3 linked regions of the Rhinolophus ferrumequinum genome follow. The protein of the gene in region 1 purifies or fractionates together with the protein of each later gene. This does not show direct contact. Links are inferred from orthologs where the notes say so. Each region holds a gene or a part of one and is shown in the gene's direction. Other genes may lie near its edges.

Evidence for each region. Proteins that work in one complex are often made in the same cells at the same time.
Region 2: the proteins of KBTBD7 (region 1) and VANGL1 purify together in Homo sapiens (co-immunoprecipitation; 4 studies listed by BioGRID and IntAct, with this or other methods). This does not show direct contact. The link is inferred for Rhinolophus ferrumequinum from reciprocal best matches to the Homo sapiens genes KBTBD7 and VANGL1.
Region 3: the proteins of KBTBD7 (region 1) and ERC1 purify together in Homo sapiens (co-immunoprecipitation; 4 studies listed by BioGRID and IntAct, counting the BioPlex papers as one, with this or other methods). This does not show direct contact. The link is inferred for Rhinolophus ferrumequinum from reciprocal best matches to the Homo sapiens genes KBTBD7 and ERC1.

The regions. Positions count from the first base shown.
Region 1 is NC_046287.1:8,877,578-8,885,391, forward strand, and holds the start of KBTBD7 (kelch repeat and BTB domain-containing protein 7), read left to right. Parts: upstream 1-4,796; 5' UTR 4,797-4,962; coding exon 4,963-7,002; 3' UTR 7,003-7,814. UniProt on the Homo sapiens protein: As part of the CUL3(KBTBD6/7) E3 ubiquitin ligase complex functions as a substrate adapter for the RAC1 guanine exchange factor (GEF) TIAM1, mediating its 'Lys-48' ubiquitination and proteasomal degradation.
Region 2 is NC_046305.1:45,998,922-46,006,925, forward strand, and holds the start of VANGL1 (vang-like protein 1), read left to right. Parts: upstream 1-4,985; 5' UTR 4,986-5,105; intron 5,106-8,004.
Region 3 is NC_046293.1:88,986,087-88,993,387, forward strand, and holds the start of ERC1 (ELKS/Rab6-interacting/CAST family member 1), read left to right. Parts: upstream 1-4,282; 5' UTR 4,283-4,542; intron 4,543-7,301. UniProt on the Homo sapiens protein: Regulatory subunit of the IKK complex. Probably recruits IkappaBalpha/NFKBIA to the complex. May be involved in the organization of the cytomatrix at the nerve terminals active zone (CAZ) which regulates neurotransmitter release.

The DNA.
Region 1 (7,814 bases):
TATTAGTGATGCTAAATTTGGTAACTCAAATCTCTCCGTTGTAATGATACATGTTTTCCTTAATAGTTAGTATGCAATCTGTAGGGTTATACTTTGACATCATATAATCATTCGGTTCCTTGTGCTAGGCAGCTTCTGAGATAACCCCAATAATCCCTGTTCCTGGCATTTATACACTTGTGTAATCTCTCCTTGAACGTGGACTAGATTTATTGATTCTCCTCTAACAAATAGAGTACAACATATTGGGCAGCTCACTCATAGGCATGCTCCAATTGAGCAAGAGTACACCCAGAAAAACTGGCTGCCAGTGACTAAAGGCAGTGTGAGTCATTTTGGGTATAGACATAAAGTGAATAGTGTGTAGACTATTTAAAAATCAGAGCGAAAAACAATATGAGGGAGCCCAGGATGTAGAGCTGATGGCGCCTGCCACAGCCCTGACCTGAGCTGGTAGGATGGAGAATAGAGGCAGTACTCACGCTCAGATGGGAGAAGATTGTGTGCAGAATCACTGATAAATACCACCAAAGCCTAAATTCCGGGAAGGTGAACGGCTGCTTTGCTTTCATGGGCATCTTTATGAAGCAAAGTGTGTAAAGATTTTTATAAAGGACAAACAAATGAAATACTTTGTACTTACAGTGATTAGAGTAAACACTGGGGTGAATGGGTTCCAGAAAGCAGAGGACTGAAATAAATGGAAACCGATCTGCAGAAACAGGACTTCAGGAAGCCATTATTCGGAAAGGAAGATGAGAGAGGCTGCCCCAGGAAAGATGTCTGAGCTACAAAACAAAAATGTTGGAGTCACCCAGAAATGGAAATGGGGGCAGAGCCAGTGAGATACCTCAGCCTCCTCAGAAGAAAAAGGGCCAAGGAGACTCTGATGTTAGATTCATGAACAGAGTTGAAGGTTCTTGAAGAACTAGAATCAAGATTTGTCATTGATAGAGACTTAATGACCAGGTAAAAACAGCTCTTTTATCTTTCTGCCAAGAACGTAGATGCCCTTGTAAGGATTATGCAAATTATAAGAGATTTTTAGCAAACACAGAGAACTAGTATATGTGTGTTAATGAAGTTGTATCAGGAATAAGAAGACTGGAATGGAATGTTGGGTGCTCAGCTAACTTTATAAATTTGAAAGACCTCCAGTATGCTGAGACCCTTAAAAATTGTCCCGAGGCACCTTTGTCCAGGTGTGTACGGAGCACCAGCCACATCTACTGAAAACTGGAGCCTTGTTGGCCTCTACACGTGGGGAGTCTTAGTTTATGACTGAGCTATCTTCACGATTTCCTGGCAAAGAATTCTGCAACTTGATTTACTGCTAGCAATTACCAAGTGGCTCCTCCTAGGAGGTATAATTTACAGTAAATTAAATGCACAGATCTTAAGAGACAGTTCATTGAATTTGACAATTGCATACACCCGTGCAGCCTTCAGTCCAATCAAGATGAGAACATTTCTATCACTCCTGAAAGTTTCTTTGGGTTCCTCTGCAGCCAATGCAGAAATCCACCAACCCACACTGGCAGCCTTTATTATGATTTTTATTCACCATAGCTTATTTTCACTGTTTTGAAACTTAGCATAGACGGTCATACAGTATGTACTCTTGTGTATCTGGCTTCTTTTGTTCAACATAAAATTTTCGAAACTTGTTTACATTATTATGTGCATCAAAGTTTGTTTCTTTTTTATTTCTGACTTGCATTACACTATGAATATACCACAATTAATTTTTCTCATTCTCCTTGATGCACATATATATTTACAGTTTTGGGCTATTATGGATGAGGCTACTGTGAACACTTCGTGGACATATGTTTTAATTTCCCTTGGAAATTGCAGTGAAATTATTGGGCATTTAACATTCAAAAAAACTACCAAACGGTTTTTTAAAGGGGACATACCAATTTACATTCCCATAATTAATATATGAGAGTTCCAATGGCTCCCTATAATCACCAACATTTGCTCTTATTGATCTTTTTAAGTTTAGCCATTCTATTGGCTGTGCAGTATTTTCTCATTGTGAATTGAATTTGCATTCATGATGAATGACATTGATGGGCTTTCATGTTTATTGGCCATTGGCTTATATGTATTATGAATATTTTTTGCCAGTCTATGACTTGCCTTTTTATTTTGTTTTCATTGCTTTTTTTAAAAAAACAACTTTAAGTGTGTTTTTCCAGGACCCGTCAGCTCCAAGTCAAGTAGTTGTTTCAATCTATTTGTGGAGGGCACAGCTCACAGTGGCCCATGTGGGAATCGAACCAGCAACTTTATTAAGAGCACTGCACTCTAACCAACTAAGCTAACCAGCTGTCCCTGTTTTCATTGCTTTTCCTGGACAAAGCTTGTAATCTTGTTGAAATTCATTTTATCAATTTTCTTTTCTTTTTTTTTAAGGAGGGCTCAGCTCACAATGGCCAATACGGGGATCAAACCGGCAACCTTGGTGTCATTAGCACCACACTCTAACCAACTGAGCTAACCTGCCACCCCTATCAATTTTTTTTAATGTTAATGTTTCATGTATCCTAAGAAATCTTTGCCTACCTCACAGTCACAGAGATAGTCTCCTATGGTTTCTTCTAGAAGCTTTGTGGTTTTCAATTTTCTGTTTTACATTAAGATCCATTTCAAATTAATTTTTGTTTATGGTATAAGTTTATGGTATAAGGGTCAAGGTTAATGTTTTTTTTCACATTATGATCCAGTTGTTCCAACACCACTTGTCTAAGAGACTTCTTTCTCCACTGAATTTCATCGATACCAATGCTGTGTTTCTAAAATTTAAAATTCAGTTCCTCATTTGCATTGGCCACATTTCAAGTTCTCAAGAGCTACAGGTGGCTTCTGGTTACCATATCAGTGGGGCGGATATTAAGTATTTGCACATCGCACAAAGTTCTGTGACAGCACTGCTCTAGACCTTAGGGCACTGTGTCTACTAAATATTTCAGATTCCGTGAAAGATAATATAAACCAAATAACAAAGTATGGACTGATATAAGGAAGTTAAAAATCAATCACTTAACTTATATGAGGCATGTAGAGTAGTCAAATTCAGAGACAAAGTAGAATGGTGGTTACCAGGGGTTTTGGAGAGGGCGAAAGGAGAGTTACTGTGAATGGATACAAACTTTCAATTTTGCAATATGAAAACAGTTCTGGAGATGGATGGTGGTGATGGTTGCAAAACAATGTGAATGTACTTAATGCCAAAGAAATGTACCCGTATGCTTCAAAATTGCTAAAATGGTAACCTATATGTTATGTATATTTTACCAATATAATTTTTTAAATTGCTGTTTACCCCAGCTTGTGTTTAGTGCAGATGAGAAAGCAATCAGAGTTACTAATGACTTAATTCTTTCTGGTATATCTGAGGGACACCCAACTGAGGTACAGAGGAGACATTGGGGCCCAGAGCCCCACTTAATTTAATGTCTATTTCCTGGGGGTATTTCCAGTAGACCCACTTTAGCTAATAGGAAAAGAGAGAAATACAAGTTGAGAGTTATTTTCCTACTATGTGTTGTCTACATATTCGTGTAATACTAAACATTTCATTCATAATGGTGACCCATGGCAAACTAACAGCAGAAGCAGTCTAGTTTTTAAATTAAAGTTCCCAAACTAAAAAAAATCAAGTCTCTAAGCACTTGATTTTGACAATTTAACTAGCAGATAATGTTGATCTATATAGCTATGTCAACAATTTAGTAAAGCATCGACTCTACTACATAAATTTAAGAAATGTCAGGGCATGTATGAATACGGTACTCTGAGGATCTTGGCTTGTGTACAATACAAGGTCTGTTTATTTAAATATTATACTTTAAAACTCTCATTAAAACTACTTAATAAAAACAATTCCAGAATTTACAACTGATTTGTGGAAAGGAAGTGAAAGGAGCAGTATTAGATGACTTGCAAACACTCATGAAGAGGCTGTGAAAATAGTCTTGCTACCCAGGAGATGAAGTGTTGACTTGATGAGTCAACCCATCCATTTAATGCCTGATTTGCATAACTGAGGCCATCTACAATGGCTGTCCTCTAGGATCTCATTTTGTCTAAGACATATTAATGAACCTGTGAATATCGTTTAGTATTGAAAATAAATATTGTAATACACTTCACAGCCTTTCAAAAGAAGCAACACTAAAAACGGTAAGTTTTCAGAAATTGCTCATGGTTTCAAATTAGGGGGTGTCTCAATTTTCATAAATTCTAAAATAAAAGCTAACTGAATATGTACTAAGCTGACTGAATATGTACTAAGCACAGTGTAAACAATTTTTGTTCTCAAATATTTATTGAAACTTTCTATATCCAAATACAATCCTATGAATACTATTATCCCCATTTTACAAATAAGTTTTCAGGGAGAAATGACATAATTAATGAATACTGAAACGGGGCTTTTACTTTGTATTTCAAAGCCAAAGTTTTAAACCATTAAATCGAGGAGCATTAACGCTCTCTAATTCTATTACCTGAAGAAACACTCCGCCCCAAGAAACCTCGCGATATTATTCAAGCTATCACTCCCAACGTGCAAAGCGGCTTACTATTATTCAGCCTATGAGCATCTGGACTGTCCAGGCACGCCTCGAGTGCGAAAAGCAGCCTGGGAGTCGTAGTTCAGGATCCCGTGTCGTCAGCGCAGCAGTGGTGGCTCACTTGGTTCCAGTCAGCGGGTTCACTGAGGGCGAGCTGAGGTGAAAAAAAAAAAAAAAAGGGGGGGCGCGGAACTGGAAAGGGTGAGTAAGACACTGTCTACGCGATAAAAGGAGGCGGCACCGCTGCGTGGGGCTGAGTTTAAAAGGTGCGGCCCCTATACAGGGAAGCGCCTATCTGCGCTGGTTAGAGCAGATTGAGGCGGAGCCGGAGCTCCGTCCTTGCCCGGGTTCTCACCTCAGCACCGCGGCCATCTCCACCATGCAGTCTCGGGAAGACGCTCCGCGCTCTCGCCGCCTCTCCAGTCCCCGTGGTGGGAGGCGGCCCAAGAGGATTTCCAAGCCCTCAGTTTCGGCTTTTTTCGCGGGCCCTGAGGAGCTGAAGGACACGGCCCATTCTGCAGCCCTGCTGGCACAGCTCAAGTCCTTCTACGACGCGCGGCTGCTGTGTGATGTGACCATCGAGGTGGTGACGCCTGGCAGTGGGCCTGGCACGGGCCGCCTCTTCCCCTGCAACCGTAACGTGCTGGCTGCCGCGTGTCCCTACTTCAAGAGCATGTTCACCGGCGGCATGTACGAGAGCCAGCAGGCAAACGTGACCATGCACGATGTGGATGCCGAGTCCTTCGAGGTGTTGGTCGAATACTGCTACACGGGTCGCGTGTCGCTAAGCGAGTCCAACGTGCAGCGCCTTTATGCAGCCTCGGACATGTTACAGCTCGAGTACGTGCGGGAAGCCTGTGCCTCCTTCCTAGCCCGCCGCCTTGACCTGGCCAACTGCACCGCCATTCTCAAGTTCGCCGACGCCTTCGACCACCACAAGCTGCGCTCACAGGCCCAGTCCTTCATCGCCCACAACTTCAAGCAGCTCAGCCGGATGGGTTCGATTCGGGAGGAGACCCTGGCAGATCTGACTTTGGCCCAGCTGCTGGCCGTGCTGCGCCTGGATAGTTTAAACATCGAGAGTGAGCAAACGGTGTGTCACGTGGCGGTGCAGTGGTTGGAAGCGGCTCCCAAGGAGCGGGGTCCCAGCGCTGCGGAAGTCTTCAAGTGTGTCCGCTGGACACACTTCACTGATGAAGATCAGGATTACCTGGAAGCGCTGCTAACCAAGCCCATTGTGAAGAAGTACTGTCTGGACCTTATTGAAGGGGCCCTGCAGATGCGATATGGTGACATACTGTACAAGTCTCTGGTGCCAAAGCCAGAGTGCAGCAGCAGCTCTGTTGTTTCTGCAGCAGAAAATCCACCCCAGAGGCTGGGTGTGTGTGCCAAGGAGATGGTGATCTTCTTTGGACATCCCAGAGATCCCTTTCTCTGCTATGACCCATACTCAGGGGACATTTACACAATGCCCTCACCTTTGACCAGCTTGGCCCACACTAAGACTATCACCTCCTCAGCTGTCTGCGTCTCTCCAGACCATGACATCTATCTAGCTGCCCAGCCCAGGAAAGACCTCTGGGTGTATAAACCAGCCCAGAACAGTTGGCAGCAACTTGCAGATCGCTTGCTCTGCCGTGAGGGCATGGATGTGGCATACCTTAATGGGTACATTTACATCTTGGGTGGGCGAGACCCTATTACTGGAGTTAAATTGAAGGAAGTGGAATGCTACAGTGTTCAGAGAAACCAGTGGGCACTGGTGGCTCCTGTTCCCCACTCCTTCTATTCCTTCGAATTAATAGTGGTTCAGAACTATCTTTATGCTGTGAACAGTAAACGCATGCTCTGCTATGATCCTAGTCACAATATGTGGTTGAACTGTGCTTCTCTTAAACGTAGTGACTTTCAGGAAGCCTGTGTCTTCAATGATGAGATCTATTGCATCTGTGACATCCCCGTCATGAAGGTCTATAACCCAGCCAGGGGAGAATGGCGGAGGATTAGTAATATTCCCCTGGACTCAGAGACCCACAACTATCAGATTGTCAATCATGGCCAAAAGTTGCTTCTCATCACTTCTACCACCCCACAATGGAAAAAAAACCGGGTGACTGTGTACGAATATGATACTAGGGAAGACCTATGGATTAATATAGGCACAATGTTAGGTCTTTTGCAGTTTGACTCGGGCTTTATTTGCCTCTGTGCTCGTGTTTATCCTTCTTGCCTTGAACCTGGTCAGAGTTTCATCACTGAGGAAGATGATGCACGGAGTGAGTCTAGTACTGAATGGGACTTAGATGGATTCAGTGAGCTGGACTCTGAGTCAGGAAGTTCAAGTTCTTTTTCTGATGATGAAGTCTGGGTGCAGGTAGCACCTCAGCGAAATGCACAGGATCCGCAGGGCTCTTTGTAAATATTTGGAAACACTACAGGTGATTCTACTGCTATGGAATGTATTTTAAAAAGATATCCTTTCCTTTTCCTGAAAAAAAAATTGATTAGTACCACAGATTTGGTTTAGAAAGCGTAATGTTGAATTACTTATGTAACGTTCCAAAATTTAAAAACAGTCCACAAAATTAACCTATATAATAATTTACTGTGCTAAAAGTCGAGATTAAAATATGCAAAAAATGAAGTGTACAATTGATTAAAATGCTTGGTGGTTTTTTTCATTGTTCAAGTATTCATTGTACCAGTGAATTGTTATGGTTAGTTACACTGCTTATATTTTGGTTATCTAATTTAGTCTTCAGTTAACTTTTTAATTCTATTTAGTGCCACGAGGCATTTAACTTTTTAAGTTTTATAATAGAAAATTGGACTAGAAAGTGTTGCTATGGTTTTGAAGGTTTATATTTTCCTTCAGAATAATGAAAATAGATTTACCAAATTCTAAAGTAGTCAGTTTTTAGTATTCTAGGTTAATATAGTTTGTTAAATTTGGTTTCGTTTTCTTCCCTTTTGCAAAGGAAAGAAATTGAACATATAAAGATTATTAAATAGCGATTTCATTTTGATATAGTGCAGAATGGTCTTAAGAGCTCACAGAAAATAAAAATAAATCAGGATTCCACTGTTTTAAAAGAAATTTAGCTTCTAATTTTGGAATATAAAATGTATATTTAATAAATGTGACCATTTTTTAATCTAAAACACATCCATTCTAGTAGTGTCACCAATTATTTAAACACCCTTCTAAACCAAAAGAGAAATAAATAACTT
Region 2 (8,004 bases), on another chromosome or scaffold:
CAAAGGGCCCCTGGAAAGCCGTCAGACACACTTCCTCTTTCTGGCCTGTCTTCATCTCCTGGCTTCTCGGGTTCTGTTGGAGCATCTTGCCTCCTTCTTCATGAAGACTACTAAGATGGCTTGACTTCCCACACCCACCCTGTGAGCTCACCTGCCTCCACCTCTACAAGGCTAGTCCTTCCACCCTTCTTCCTTAAATGTTCCTTCCTTAAATGTTGAAATTTAACAGTTCTTCCCCCTGGTCTATAAACAGGCTGGAGCCTGTGTCAAAACAAAATGACAATGACACCTGTCTCACCTCCACACGTCCCTGTCCTATCTCTTTGCTTCACAAAGTCTGCATTTCTCTACCCACCTCTTCTCTTTTCTCTACGGCACTGTCAATCACGTGTCCTCTTCCCAAACAATATTAATCACCAGTAGCCTACGTCCTCCCACACTGCCACACAGCGATCTAGCTTATGGACAAAAGTGGAGACTGTGGTCAGACAATCCAGGTTCAAACCTGGCCCCACCAGGTAGCAGCTGTGTGATCTCCTCTCGATGCCCAAGTTTCCTTCCCTATAAAATGTAGATGGTCTAATATTCACAACACGGGTTGTAGCAAGGAATAAATAAGACATGTAAAATACGTAGCAGAGTGCCTGGCAGACAAGAAAGGCTCAATAAATGGGACCTATGATTGTTGGCACATCTCAATATGCCTAACAGAGAATTTACCTTTGCTGCTTGAACTTCTTGTCCCTCCTGGTTCCCCACTTGTGATTGAGATTCGCCTACGGCTGCAGTAATTCAGGCCCATCCTTCACTCTGGGTTCCCTATGACCCCCGGCCTTCTATTTGGTCTCCCTACTTTCACTCTTTCCTCACAAAGCCACTCTCCATACTGCAAAGTCCACTCATCTATTCCTCTCCATAAAAACTCTTCCGTGGCTCCCTATTGCCTAGCAGATAACACCCACTTCTAAGTCACCCTAGAAGCCCTCTGAGCTCTGGCTTCTTCTCCTTGCTTCCAGGTCGTGCCCACCCTTCTTCCACCCATCCTAGCCCTGCTTTCTCCCTTATGCTCCCCTTGTGCCAAACGCTGTCAGGCACCCTGAGGAGCCATGCCGCTTCAACACTCTGTGCCTTCCTGTCCTTCCCCCTGACACAAGCATCATTTTAGTGCCTACGCCTCCAGACCTGCAGTTCCACGCAGCTATCACCCCTGTGTCACTTCCCCACCCCCACTCTCCACCAGCTCACCAGCTCTGCATTCTGCCGTCACACACAGCCTCCTGGACATACTCTGTCACACGTCGGTGCCTTTGCCCAGGATGTTCCCTCCCTCTTTATCTGCCAAATGTGCATCCTTCATGTTCCGTGCCCAGGTCATCATGGCCAGGGGAAGCCACGCTGCTTTTGCAGGCTGAGCTGGCTCTTCTCCCTCTGGGCTTCCAGCATGCCCGTCTTGCCTCTGGTCAGTCACAGCACTCTCATATTCGATTGTGTGGCTTTGTTTAAGGAACAGTCTCGCCCAGCAGCATGAACTCCTCCAGGAGAAGGAGGCACACACCCCTCCCCCCGCCCCCCATGTCCTGTCCGGCTCTGTTTTCTCCTTAGCACTGTTACCACTGATGCACTGCATGTGTTGCTCACCTGTGCGTCTCTCCCACTAGAATATAAACTCTAAGCCGGCAGGAGCTTTGTCTGTTTTGATGGATCCCCAGAGCCTAGAATAGTGACTGGCACGTGGTAAGTGCTCCATAAACATTTGTTGAATACATTATGCAATCACTGATCAATGTTACGTTATCTAATTTCGTATCTCTGGAAGTGAATACATTACCTGGTTTGTATTAGGTACTCAGTATATGTTTTTGGATGAATGAATACTTTATCACGTTGTTAGCGCGTTTAAAAAAGTTCAGCCACTCGTGTTGGATTCAAAGTTCTCTGTCTTCTAATCCTAGCCACTCAATTTTGAATCTTCTGTGTCTCAGCATGAGTTCTTATCTTGAGCCTAACTGCTCTGCTCACTGCCTTTGACTGTATCTCATGCACTGTTCTTTCCATCCCTGCCAATACTCCAGACAGAAATAATACTAACTCATCTATTCAACTCATATTTATTAAGCACCTGAGATAAGCCAGTCATTGCTCCAGCCACTGTCCTTCTCCTATGTCTATGCCACTTCTCTCTTTTCTCAAGAGGAGGACAACTTGATGCTGACTGACCATCCAGGTCCATGTGACTCTCTTCTTGGGCACGAATAACCCATCACTAGCGTTATGAACCGATAAACAGATATTACACATTCGCAGATTTTACAGAAAATGGCCCTTTCAAGAATCAGCACTTTTTAACATTTCAAGTATTTTGCATGGAAATTTTTCTAATATTTTCTCACATCGTCCTTATCTTTGAATAGAGTATTGTATAGAGAATATCCATCTAACCTTTGAAAGTCAGGGTCACCACTATGGACACTGCTATTCTGTGATGTCACAGCGCACCAAGAAAAGTAACTGGTAAAAGGAAAGGACATGAGTTTGGGAATTAAACAATCTTCACAATGACACCCTGTGCAGTTCCTGGGGTCTCCTGAGGTCACCTCCTGCTCTCTTTTAATGTGTTTCTAATCTATAGTAGGCTTAGGAATTAGATGATGAAGCTTATTAGAAACGTTTGTAAACTAAGTGTAAACAGCGTCGAAGTGAGGGTACGAAAGATTCTTTTATTTATGAGGTCTATCTACGTTAAGGTACGGATATTATACTATCTATTTTGTTGATCAGAGGCCTTTCTCACTTAACTCCTGTTTTGCAGTTCTACTCATAATTCCTGAGGCTGAATAAATAACTTCTTTAAGTATGCCTGTAGTGCATTTCGCATTTTATATATTCTCTTTCATTGTTAACTTTTTATGTGCATGTGTCACAACTTTTCAGTGACATCGTTCCCTGGTTAGATTATTAACTTCCCAAGGGCAATGGTATTTCATAGTCATTTGCTAAGTATTTTTTCATTTTTTCATTCATTTGCTAAGTATTTTTTAAAGCGACTACTATGTAGAAAGATCTGTGATAGAAAAAAAGACATGACATTGGCAGGCACATTATTGAGGAGTGACATGCAAATGACCAATGCAAGGTAGGAAGGTGAATCTAAAAATCCAGAGTGCTATGGGAATTCAAGTGAGGGAGGAAATTGATTTCTTGTTGGGAGAACTGGGGAAGATGGCGTTTGAGTTGGATCTTGGTAGACAGGAAGAATTTCAGTGGGTAGCATTCTAGGGTTTGGGAATGCTGTGAGAGTGGACAGGAAGGGGAAAATAAATGCATGAATTTGTGGAAAGTATAGTCATACTGGAGTCTAGAGAACATCCGATTCCCTAGTCAAGTTTGGAACAAATGGATAAGCCAGACAAAAGGGGTGGCAGATGGAGCCCACAGTATAACCTTTATTATTGCTCAAGGTTAAGCTGTAGAACTTGACTTCAGGCAAGAGCTCAATAAGACTGCTAACTGAATAAGGCTGATCCACTTTGTGACAGATAATGGGAGCCAGGCAGGCCTCCAGGTTACACAGACCATCATTCAGTTTCTGAGAAGTTTTCCAACTCTTACCTTTTCAGCTTGAATACTTGAGATTGTTGGATACAAATGAATAGTAGATGGCATTTAAAGGTGAATTTATTATCTTAAAATCGAATTTAGTTTGTACTACCCCTCTTTCCCACAAAAGCACCACATGGTTAAGGTACTTAGACTTAGAAAAGTGGATTTGAATCACTTCCCATGAAAATTCATTTAGGATCTGTATATCACATGGGGGCTATTCAGGAGCATCATAACTAAAATCAGAAATCCCTGGCCTGCAGTAACTTTGAAGGGTCTACATTTTAAAGATGAAAGAGACATGTTTTTATAAAGCTTTGCAGTGAAGTATAGTGGAGTAGGAGGGCTGGGAGGGGAGGAGTCAAGATTGCATATTGAACATATGATGCCCTCTGAAGTGCAATATATGGAAGAGAGAACGGGGAGTGGAAGGGATGCGGAAGGGGTGGTGAGAAGAGAGTGAGGGCCTTGAAGGCTGAAGTTCCTTAACTAAGGCTAGTTCAGGGTGGGCATGTGTTTCCCCACCCCAACTGCCCACAGTATTCATTATACACCACCTCTACTCAGCTGCGTCATGCAAGCAGCTTTGGGTCCCAACCAGACTCCAGACTCTTCACATGGATCCCCAACCCTCTCTGCACAAGACAACTAAGGAAGAAGGGTGCAACAATTCATATAGGTAGTTGACAACTACTCCGTGCCCGCTGGGCCCCAGCTACTTTCCATAATCCTCACCACAATCCTGTAAGGTTGGTGTTACCACCCTCTGGCTTTTCAGACTGGGAAACAGCCTCACAGATGGAAGCAGACCTACTTGAATCAGGATTGGAACATGGGCTGCCTGCCTTCAGAGGTATGCTCTTCCAGCAGTTTCAAAAGACTGGGGTTCGGGGCAGTGACTGCTCTGTTGGGCAGGAGAAGGGAGAAGGTTGCCTGTGGGGACCTGTAGGACGTCTGGGTGTGCACGGCTATGTGTTTCTGGGGCGGCATACGAGTTTCAGTGTGAGTGTGAATACTGGTGGAGGTGTGGGTGTATATGGATATTTGTTGGCCAGTTCTTAGAATGTGTATGTATGAGTGTCTGGGGGTGGGGGCGCCGGGTTGGGGGATGAGTCCCTGGGCTGCTTGAACATGTGTTGGGGCTTTGATGAGGGCAAACAGGCTTGGATTTTGTGCATGACTTGAGTGTGTGTGTGTGTGTGTGTGTCCCGGTGTATGGAGTGACCGGGTGGGGAGACGCCTCCGGGGCTCGGACCCGCCCCCGCGGCAGGTGGGCCGGGCCCGCCGCGGGGTTGGCCGCGCTCGCTGCTCTTGGCTCGCGGCCGCGCCGGGCTCGCAGGGCTGGGCTCGGGCTGCGGGGCGGCGCCGGGACAGGAAGCGGAAAGCAGCAGTGCGGCGGCGGCGGTGGCGGGGTTCTGCCTCTACAGGAGCCCAGCGCAGGCCGCAGAGCCGGGGCTGCTGCGAGCCGAGACCGCGGCCGCGGAGCCCGCACGGCCGGCGCCGAGGTGAGTCCGGCGAGAGGCCGGGCGCGGCGGCGGGGCGGCGGGCGCGGGGCGCAGATCTTCGGCGGGGAGACGCCCCCAGCGCGGATCCCTCACCCCAACCCCAGGACTCAGCCCAGGGTTCACCGTCCTCCTCCCGCCTCCCATTCTACGGACCGCACCCCGTGTGTGCTTCCCGGGGTCCCACTCCTCTCCCATCCCGGCGAGGTGCACCCCTCCTGCTCCTGCCCTTGCCCTGCGCTCCCCGCCGCACCCCACTTCCTCCGGTCCCCACATTTCCTCCCCGCGCCTCGGACGCCCCCTTCTCCCCTAGCTGCAGTTCGGGGTGCGCCCTCGGGTTGTGCGTTCCGGCGGCTGGCAGGGAGTGGCCGAGCGTTCCTGCAGGCACCCGGCGGCTGCATCGGCCGTGCCGGCCGGGGGCCGGGCCGCCCTGCGCGCCGGGGGAGCCGGGCGCGCACTCTGGTTCTCACCCTGCCGCGGGGCTCGACCCCGTAACCGCCAGCGCCCGGGGCCGCCGGGCCCTGGGCCAGAAACCGGCACAGAGCTGGCCTGTGTTCACACCTCGCTTCCAAAATTGAGCCGGCCCCGGAGGCCGGGGGGGCGAGTCCGGTTGTGCATCGCAGAGCGCAACAGGCAGGTAGGAGTTTACTTTCAAAAAACGCCGGGGTGGAGCAGAAAGCGGCCGGCGAGTCTGCCCGAGGGGGTCCCAGTTGGAGGAAATCTCACCGCACCGGGGCGGCTTGGTCACGGGCAGGACCTCATTTCCAACGGCAGTCTTTGAACTCCCCCAAGCAACGCGCCCAGAGCCGTGTGAAGCTTTATAAAAATTTAAACGCGTCGGTGGCAGAGGCAGGAGTGGGGCGGAGCCGCGGCCTGGCGGCCGGGAGATGAGCTTGGAGTGAGACTTGGAGTCCAGAAATCTGTTGGATCGGTTTTCGCGTCTTCAAACCAGGTATCAAGCCCGCACCGCGAAGGTGTTGGGAGCTCTTTGAGCTGCTCGGTAAGAGATGCAGGAGCAGTTTTTCATGGTGGTTGTGTGAATGGCACGTGCATTTTTGTTAACCCCCCCCCTTTTTTTTTTTCTGGGGCTGTGGTTGGCAATGCATGTATTTTTAGACGCGTATTCCAAAAGCTAGCAGGCTGTGAAGAATCTGGCATTTTCAGGGATGTGTTTATAAATTTTAAAGGGTTGCTGGAAATATTATAACTGGTGTCACCCATCAACAATACTAATCAGCATTCTCCTTCCTGAAGGTGGGTTGTTTGATTACACAGCTCCTAGGCTCTAAGTGGGATGGCAGAAACTGTCTGCATCCAGGGACATGTAATTAGTCACTTTATGGAACCACTAATTTAGAGTGTTTAAGAGTTGAATTTAAATCAATGTGATACAGTTGGGGCTTTGATTTCTGGGAAGAAACTGTTTTATCCTACGGTTCAAAGAAATAACACTTCTCACCTATCTGTGAGCATTTGGTATTCCCAAACTTTGGTTTCTCTCAGAATCATTAGTGAAACATCTATGGTGAAATTTTCACTGTTACCGTGTCGGCAGTGTGACTTGGTTGCCACTTAATTTGTAGGTAAAATGGGAGAAGAATTTTTGAGAACGGCATCTTCGTAAGGACTGTTTGCCAGGCAGCACAGTTTTATTGTCTTACGGATTTGAACGACATAAACCATAAAGAGAAGTTCCTTACCAAGCAACAGTTCCATGTCACCCTGATCTATTGAAGAATAAACAAGCGTTGAGTGAAGAAGGGATTGTCCCCTCTGTCTCCCTAACACACACAAACATCCAGTTTGTTACTACCCTAGGCCTCAGCAGTATTTGGGTTGCTGATCACATTGTATTTTAGCAGGTAGTTTCCACCTTTGGGTTGTGAGCGCCTTAGGACCTAGAGCTATTAATATTTCAGCTTCCTTTCTTTTCTGCTGGCCTCCCCACAATGCTTGGGACACTGAACCTGTGAGTAGGAGTTGAAACTGCAAAATTCTTTGTGGGTTTTGTGTGGTTTGGGACGATTTACGATTGTTGCCCACCCTCCTTTGTGGAAATAAATAGTTCTGGTAATTGCTACGTTGCTGTACATTTTCCATAGCTAAGAACACAGGTTCTGGAATTAGACTCTCAGAGTTTAAGCCCAGCCCTTACCAGGTACGTGACCTTGGTTTCTTTAACTGTATCATGAAATTAATATTGCATTTTCCTTATAAGGCTTGTTCGGAGGATTAAGTGAGATATTACATGCAAATGACTTAAAACAGTCCCTCACACACAATAATCACACTGTAAGCTGTTAGAGTTTTGTCACCATACTCTATCTGTAAAGTGAACTCGCTGTGGTTAGGGGACTGGCTGGGTATGGGCAAATGCTTTGGGCATCATGCTATGCCATTCTCCAGAAGGCAGACAAGACAGGATTAGGTGGGCTTGGGGCTGGACCATGTATGTACGAGTGACTTTGGTCTCGCCTGAAGCCTGATGAAAAGACACATGCATGTTCTGCTGTCTGTCTCCATCAGTGTCCTTCTGAACCCTACTTACTGGGCAGCAATCATTGGCCCTGCCACCATGGGATTTGCAGAGGAGGTAGTGCCTGTGAAATCTCTTTTTTTTGAAGCTTAAATATCTAGCAGGGGACTAGGGGGTCACTTAAAAGCAAATGTACATCATAGAACCCCAGGCAAGTGAACCCTTCACTGCTCCTCAGAAATCTACACCCAGCTGCTCGGGGTGTTTCAGAGGTTGTGAAGGACTTGAGCCAAGATCACTTATTCTGGGAAGGTGAGCTGAGATCATTAGCAAGACAGGTAAAATGAGGTTGACATTTGTTCTTTCCTTGTGAATAGTGGCCCAGAATCACGCATTTGTTAAGAGCTCTGTTGTAATGAAAGACTC
Region 3 (7,301 bases), on another chromosome or scaffold:
TAATTTATTAATAGGTTGGCTCTAAAAGCTGAATACCAGGGGCCGGCCCGGTGGCTCCAGCGATTGGAGCTCCGTGCTCCTAATGCAGAAGGCTGCCGGTTGGATTTCCACATGGGCCAGTGGGCTCTCAACCACAAGGTTGCCGGTTCGATTCCTCGACTCCCAAAAGGGATGGTGGGCTGTGCCCCCTGCAACTAAGATTGAACACGGCACCTTGAGCTGAGCTGCCGCCGAGCTCCCGGATGGCTCAGCTGGTTGGAGTGCATCCTCTCAACCACAAGGTTGCAAGTTCGACTCCCGCAAGGGATGGTGGGGCCGCGCCCCCTGCAACTAGCAACAGCAACTGGACCTGGGGCTGAGCTGCGCCCTCCACAACTATCATTGAAAGGACAACAACTTGACTTGGAAAAAGTCCTGGAAGTACGCACTGTTCCCCAATAAAGTCCTATTCCCCTTCCTCAATAAAATCTTTAAAAAATAAAAATAAATAAATAAATAAATAAATAAATAAATAAAAAAGCTGAATACCAAAAAACACCATTCTTTAAGCTGTCTATCATAGTAATTAATTCTTCAGTCATATTCTTCTTTTTCAGATTTCTCTTCCAGAACTCCTATCCTTCCATTCCAATCTAGCCTAGGACTTGGTATTTCCTGAATTTGATGCTGTGATTCCTGGATATGATGTTGTCAGATACACTATTTTTTACATTTTGCTTGATCACATCTTCAAGTAAATCTTTTTTTAAAAATAAATTTTATTGGGGAATATTGGGAGACAGCGTGTTTCTCCATGGCCCATCAGCTCCAAGTTGTCCTTCAATCTAGTTGTGGAGGGCGTAGCTCAGCTCCAAGTACAGTTGCCGGTTTCAATCTTTAGTTGCAGGGGGCGCAGCCCACCATCCCATGTGGGAATTGAACTGGCAACCTTGTTGTTGAGAGCTGGCGCTCTAACCAACCGGTCGCCCCCGAAGTAAATCTTTTAAAAAGGGTTATGTGGGAGTTCATGAGTCCCTGCATATCTGAAAATGTTTTCGTTCTGCTCTTTTACTTAATGATAACTCAGCAGGAATAGAGTTAAAAAAAATTTTTTCCCTAAGAATTTGAAGTTCAAGAAATATTTCCCTCAGAAACTTTAAAGTCTTTGTTTGTTATCGTCTCATATCTAGCGCTGCTAAGATTTCTGATTCCAGCTTGATTCTTGGTCTTTCATGGGTTGCTTTTTTTTCCCCTCTTTGGAAATTTAGGATTGTCTCTTAATCTTTAGTTATAACATTTCACAAGGTTGTTTTTTTCTTTGTTTTTGCTCTGTACAGGCAGATGTTTTCAGCTCTGGGAAGTTTTCTTCCATTATTTTTGGGGTGATTTTCTGTCATTTGTTTACTTTGTTTTTCTTTTGTAGTATCAGTCCTACAAAAGAAACTATTTCTCTTAAATTTTCTCTTGCAATTTCATATTTCTTCTATTTTCTTTAATATGAATTTAATATACTGTGTATGTTAATATATAATACATATATAAATTTCATATTAAAATAAATTGAAATTGCATATTTCTTCTATTTTCTTTAAAATTTCATTGACTTTGTCTTTTAATACTTCAGGTAAATTTATAATTTTGGCAATTTCTTATTTCTAATTTCAAGACTTACTTTTTATTTTTGGATTGTTACTTCATCTGAGTATACTATTCTTGTTTCATAGGTGTAGTAAACATGTATGAGCATACTAATTAGTTTTTTTTAAGTTCTCTGAAGTTTGTTTCCTCTATGGTCACATTGTGTTTATCTTCACCCCCTCCCCGCAAGCTGGAGATTTTCCTTAAATAACTAATAATCCTGGGTTGTCTGTTCCTATTTCAGATGAGGTAGTTGGAATGCTGATTAGGCACCTTGTGAACTTAGTAGGGTCTTGCCAACTTGCACAACTTCACTCTAGGGTGAGTAAGTAGGAAATGAGCCATTGTTCCAGAACGAAGAATGCTTTATTCTTAGTCATTAAATGCTTAAATAGCTGCCCAATCCTCCCCAGGGATTATAAAAACTCTTGATTTTTAGGCTGGGATAAATGCCTAGCTGTTGTATCTGAGATACAGGGAGGGTCGTGTTGTCCTACATACAGACCCCTAGTCTCCCTGTTTTCAGCCCTGCTTTTTACTATTGCTTTCTGTCTTATGTCTCCAAATTTCAGTCTCTCTAAATCAGTAACTCTGGCAGATAGGCCCCCTTCCACAGCACCCCATGCACCTATTCCACATTACAGTTTCTTCCATTTTGTTTAGTCAGACTGCACTCACTTTCTGTGTGTAAAATTAAAAAAAAAATTATGGGGCTCTCTTCCCATTTTCTATTTTGTATGGGCTTGTATAATTTTTTATTCCTTTATTAGCATTTTAATGAGGTCTCAGGAAGACGACGCAATGAATGCTGTTAGCCGGCTTTAATAAACAAATCCTAAATGTAGGTTTTAAGAAGGTATTTGGGGCAGAGTAGGAAATAAGAAAAAACAACCAGTGGAATTGTAAAAGAAAAACAACAAAACCAAAAATAAAAACAAAATATCTCTGAGTCTGTGATATTGACAGTTTCCCTATGTATGCATAACTTAGTGCTTTTGCATCTTAACTCTCCAGAACCACACATTTCAGAGATATGATGGATCTCAGACATCTAGTTCACACCTCATTTTACAGTTAAGAAAAGCAGGACCCAGCAGTAAAGTGATTTTCCCACCCTCACACAAGTAGAGAGAGGCAGAATTTGAGAGTGGAAAGTGGAAACTAGAAAGATGACTACTTTTCTTTTTCCTCACCACACTGCTAGGGATTAACAAGATGAGTAGATCAGCAGTCAGACGAGAAAGATCTTGAAAAACAGTCAAAGAAGGATGGCTTTTCCTCGGTCAATAGCCAGATGTCCAAGAAAATGAAATTTTAGGATGCTAATTTGGCAGCTATATAGTCTTCGCTGGCAGCACAGTCTAACAATTGGTAGCCATGTGTTGAACGTACTGAAGGGGGCGACTATACAGCAGGACGGGATCTGTAATAATCCAAGTGTGTGGTGATCCTGAGGGAACAATTAGACAGCCTGCTCAGGACGAAAGAGGAGAATTTGGAGAATGAATGAATGTGAATACTGAGGAGAGCCGGGAAAATGTTAGTGGCATCAATGACATACTGTAAGCTGGTTAATTGTGGTGGTGGCGAGTAAGTAAAGTAAAATGATGATTCAACTCCTTTCAAGGGCATTTTAAATTATTTTAATAAACACTAGAAGCCTGGGAATAAATATAATTCACATCACTCTTACACTCTTTAGAGATAGCTTACCCACATCTTTAAATTACTGGATTCAGTCCACTAATTTTGGCTCCGACAAAAGAAACCCGACTGCGATTCAGTACAGGAAAATTGGGTTGCCCGAAATAAGGTTACCAGTTGCCTGGCAGACTCGCATCGCTGTCGTGAGGACTGAACAAGACAACCTAGCACAGTACTTGGCACATCGCAGGGACCGAATGTGGACATTAATTTCCGCCCACGCTCTTCTCTCCCGTTCTAATCACTACAGGAATACGATCCACACTGGCGTGGGTTTTCGGAGACACCTAAGTTCTTTCCCTAGGGCCGTGTGGACAGCCCCGGGTGTCTCAGGTCACACTATTACCTTCAGTTGCCACATTTCGCAAAAGCGAAGTGTGGGGGGAAATCCAAGTTCCCCGGACAAAGGGTGCTCACTGGGCCGCGGGAGCGCAGCCGGGAACGTACTGCCGGTCCTTAGCCCTGCTCCCCACCGAGGTGGCGGCGGTCCCGGGGTTTGTGTAACGGCCCCGCCAAGGAGGGGGTGGGGCGATTATAAGGTTTGGGAAGGCGACGATTCTGCTCTTTGGGCCCGGCCGGTCCACTTCCTACGGCAAGCAGAAGGAGACAAACGCCGTCTTTCCTCGCTCCCACCTACAGCCGCTTTCCAGAGCTGGCTCGGAATCTCACCTCCCGTGGCCGCAGGGGCCGCGTGTGGGGGTGTGTACGTGTGTAGACGCCCAGTGCCCGTTACTTAGCTTCAGCGCGGAGTCCCCGCTGGAGCCTGAGTCACCCCCGCTTCCAAACCCATAACCCGCCTTTCCCTGGAAGGCGCCGGAGGCCTGGGGGCCGCCGAGTCGCGCTCGCGGGAGGGCGCGGGGAAGCGAGGCGGAGCTCACGGCGTCTCCCGGCCGGGGCCTGGGGCGGGGCTAGGTGTCTCGCGCAGGGGGCGGGGCGAGGTGACGTCAGCGGGCGCCCGGGCCGTACTGTGGCGGCGGCGGCGGCGGCTGTAGTGGTGGTGGCGGCATTGGCGGCGGTGGCGGCGCCCGGGCGGCATCAGCAGCAACAGCAGCCCTGAAGAGGGTGAGACGGCCGCGGTGGCGGCAGGTCGGAAGTCAGGCGGGACCTAGAGCTTCCCGCCTGTCGCTGGCCGAGGCTTTTTTGCCTTTTCGTACCCTGCTTCTTCCTCCCGGCCCTGGCTAGGGCAGGGCAGCGCGCCCCCGGGGAGGGGCGGAGCTGTAGGTGAGGCTTCGGGACCCCCTCCCCCTCGTGTCGCCGCCGGGGGGATGGGGAAGTCGGGGAGGGGCGGGCCCCACCCCAGCCCACCCGAGTCCACCCAGCCCACCGGCGGGCTCCACCCAGTGGAGGTCGGGGATTGGGCGGGAGCTGAGGCGTTGGACGTGGGTAACCCCGGGCGGGAGGTGGGAGAATGGGGTTCCCGGCGTTGGGGAAACGGAGGGTGGGAGGTTGATGAGGCGTGATGTTGCGGGCGAGGTAGTGGCGAGATGGAGGAATTGGGGAGCCGTGAGGAGGTGGGGGTGCAGTCAGGGTGGATCTGTGGATTTGGGTGACTGATGTAAAATGTTGAAAGAGATGAGGATTCTTTTTTATTCCCATCTGGGAAATGGTAAGATACCGGTAGGAGGTGAAGGGTTGTGTTTCAAGAGGGAGATGAGCTGTGGATGTTGCCTCGGAGGCAGTGGAGAAGCTGTTGCACTAGGTTTCACATTTCTACTTTAGGGTTTTGGTTATTTTTCTTTTTTTTCCTCCTGGCGGTTTGAGTGGGTCTGTCGGGGAGGGAAGAGAATCCCTGCTTTTGGCTCAGGGTGGGTAAATTGTGAGTGTGGATGGATTTGAAGTTTTAGCCTTCAAGAAGAGTGAGATCTTGGGTTAAGACAACTTCGTTCAGGGAAATAGGTCCTTCAGGTGTTATCTTCCAGTCTTTTTTCTGTGTCCAAAAGATCTCTTTTTACCACTTAATTTACAAGCTCTTATCCGGGCCCCTTAAGAGCAGGCCTGAGAATCGGTTGCTTTGGAAGACACATTTCTGAGTAATAGTTGGAGGTGGTTGTGCTTGTGGTTGACTTGCTTGGGATGGATAAAATGAACAATTTGGAATAGGTCTTTTGGAGCTAATTATATGAAAAGTGCTTAAATGTTTTAAAGCACAACTGTCTTTTACAGCTCGTTTTTCAGTGGATGGACCTTGACATTTAGACGTTTTGTGTTCAACAAAATTATTGATTATTTTTATTTCTCAATTGCAGATGTCTTTATTAGGCACTTTAAAAAGAAAGTGGAATAGTTTACTTTTTGGTAGACCTCTCAATTTCTGAGTAATGTTCTTGGAGTCAAGTACTTTTAAAATGCTCCTTAACAACATTTTGGGGGCATGTGCCTGTCACTTCATAGGGAGATGTTACTAAGAGTAAACAGTGTTTAGTGTTCTTCACATCAGTGTTTCATAACTTAGCACATTAAATCAGAATCTTTTTTTCTGGATTCCTGCTCCCTATTAGATTACAGTATTCACTGACCTTACCTATCAGTGTCATGTAAACTAGTTCTTGCTCGGAAACAGGTGCTGTGATGGACATGTATTATGTAATGGATGAAGTAGGCATGACTCTCAATAATTCATTTATGGAGGAAGAGAAACCGTCATGAAGTGGAATTTCAGCAGTGACTTTCCCAAGGCTTACTCAATTAATTTGGGAAAATAGCCAGAGAAGTGCTTTCCGGTAACCCAAGAGAGAAATATACAGATGTCAGTGTCAGTAGTTGCAGATCATTGCCTTTTTTAACATGCCTACTTAGTGAGCAGACCATTATCTTCTAGCAGATACTTCTGCTTGAAGAGACTTATAGGAAACAGATGATATAAAAGCTATTAAGATAAAAAGGGCGTGGTCCTATTTGTAGTTATAAATAAACGATTTAATTAACTATTCAGAAAGATCAGATTATAAGTTGGTACGCTGCATTGTTTTGATTTTGCATTAGTTACTTAGAAGGAAAAATTAAAATTCACATATCTAGTTTTGGGTTTTAAATTATACTTTGATTTAATTGGGTACACATGGGGACAAATGCAAACTGAGATTTTGGGTGAAACTGTATTGCCAAAATGACATTTGCATGGCTGACTGTGAGATGTGATTCTTCTTGCAGGAAGGAAATCATGTAATTTGGGGAAAGTGTGAAGTAGAAATGACCTGTTTCTCTTTCGAATTTCTTGTGCCTGAAAAGAACAACAACTACATTTTTTCAAGAAATACCATTTGCTGGTCATTACTGTGATATCCTTGTTGAGTCTGCTGAGGTGTTCTTTTTTTTTTTTTTTCATTACTAAAGTCAGATAAGTATGTGAGTCTGTTAATTCAACATTAATACTGGAAACAGTAAAAATAAAGGTTCTAATAGCAACAGCTGTTCTTTTTCTCACTATGTTTATGGTTTTAGAAGTAGTATAAGAGCTGTTAAATGTGCATTTTGCATATACTGGATCAAAAACATTAATGGAGAACAGGGAGTGAACTATTTTGATTAATCAAATAATCAGTACATTGATTATCAATTTTTAGAAAAATATAATGTAATAAAGTAAACAGCATACAGATTGTGTGGAATATAATTTACTTTTGTGGCTCTTCAATATCTGAGTCTTGCGACACTGATTCATTCATTTATTCATTCAACAGTTAATTTATTGAGTATGGTTCTGGGTGCTTTTTTGGCTCTTGGGGGATACAGTAGTGAACAAAGCTGACCAAAATCCCTGCCTTCCTGGAGCTTGCCTTCTAGGTATCTTCTGGGGAAATGAAGAAGAATCTAGCAAAGGAGACAGACAAGAGACATTAAGTTAGGAAAACCAAGGGAGTGTGATTTATTAGAAGGGAAGGAAAGAAAGTTTTCAAGGAGGAGGGAATGATCAACTGTGTCATTGTTTAAAGATGTGTCAGAGTATAGGGTAAAAGAGAAATCCACTTGATTATAATGTC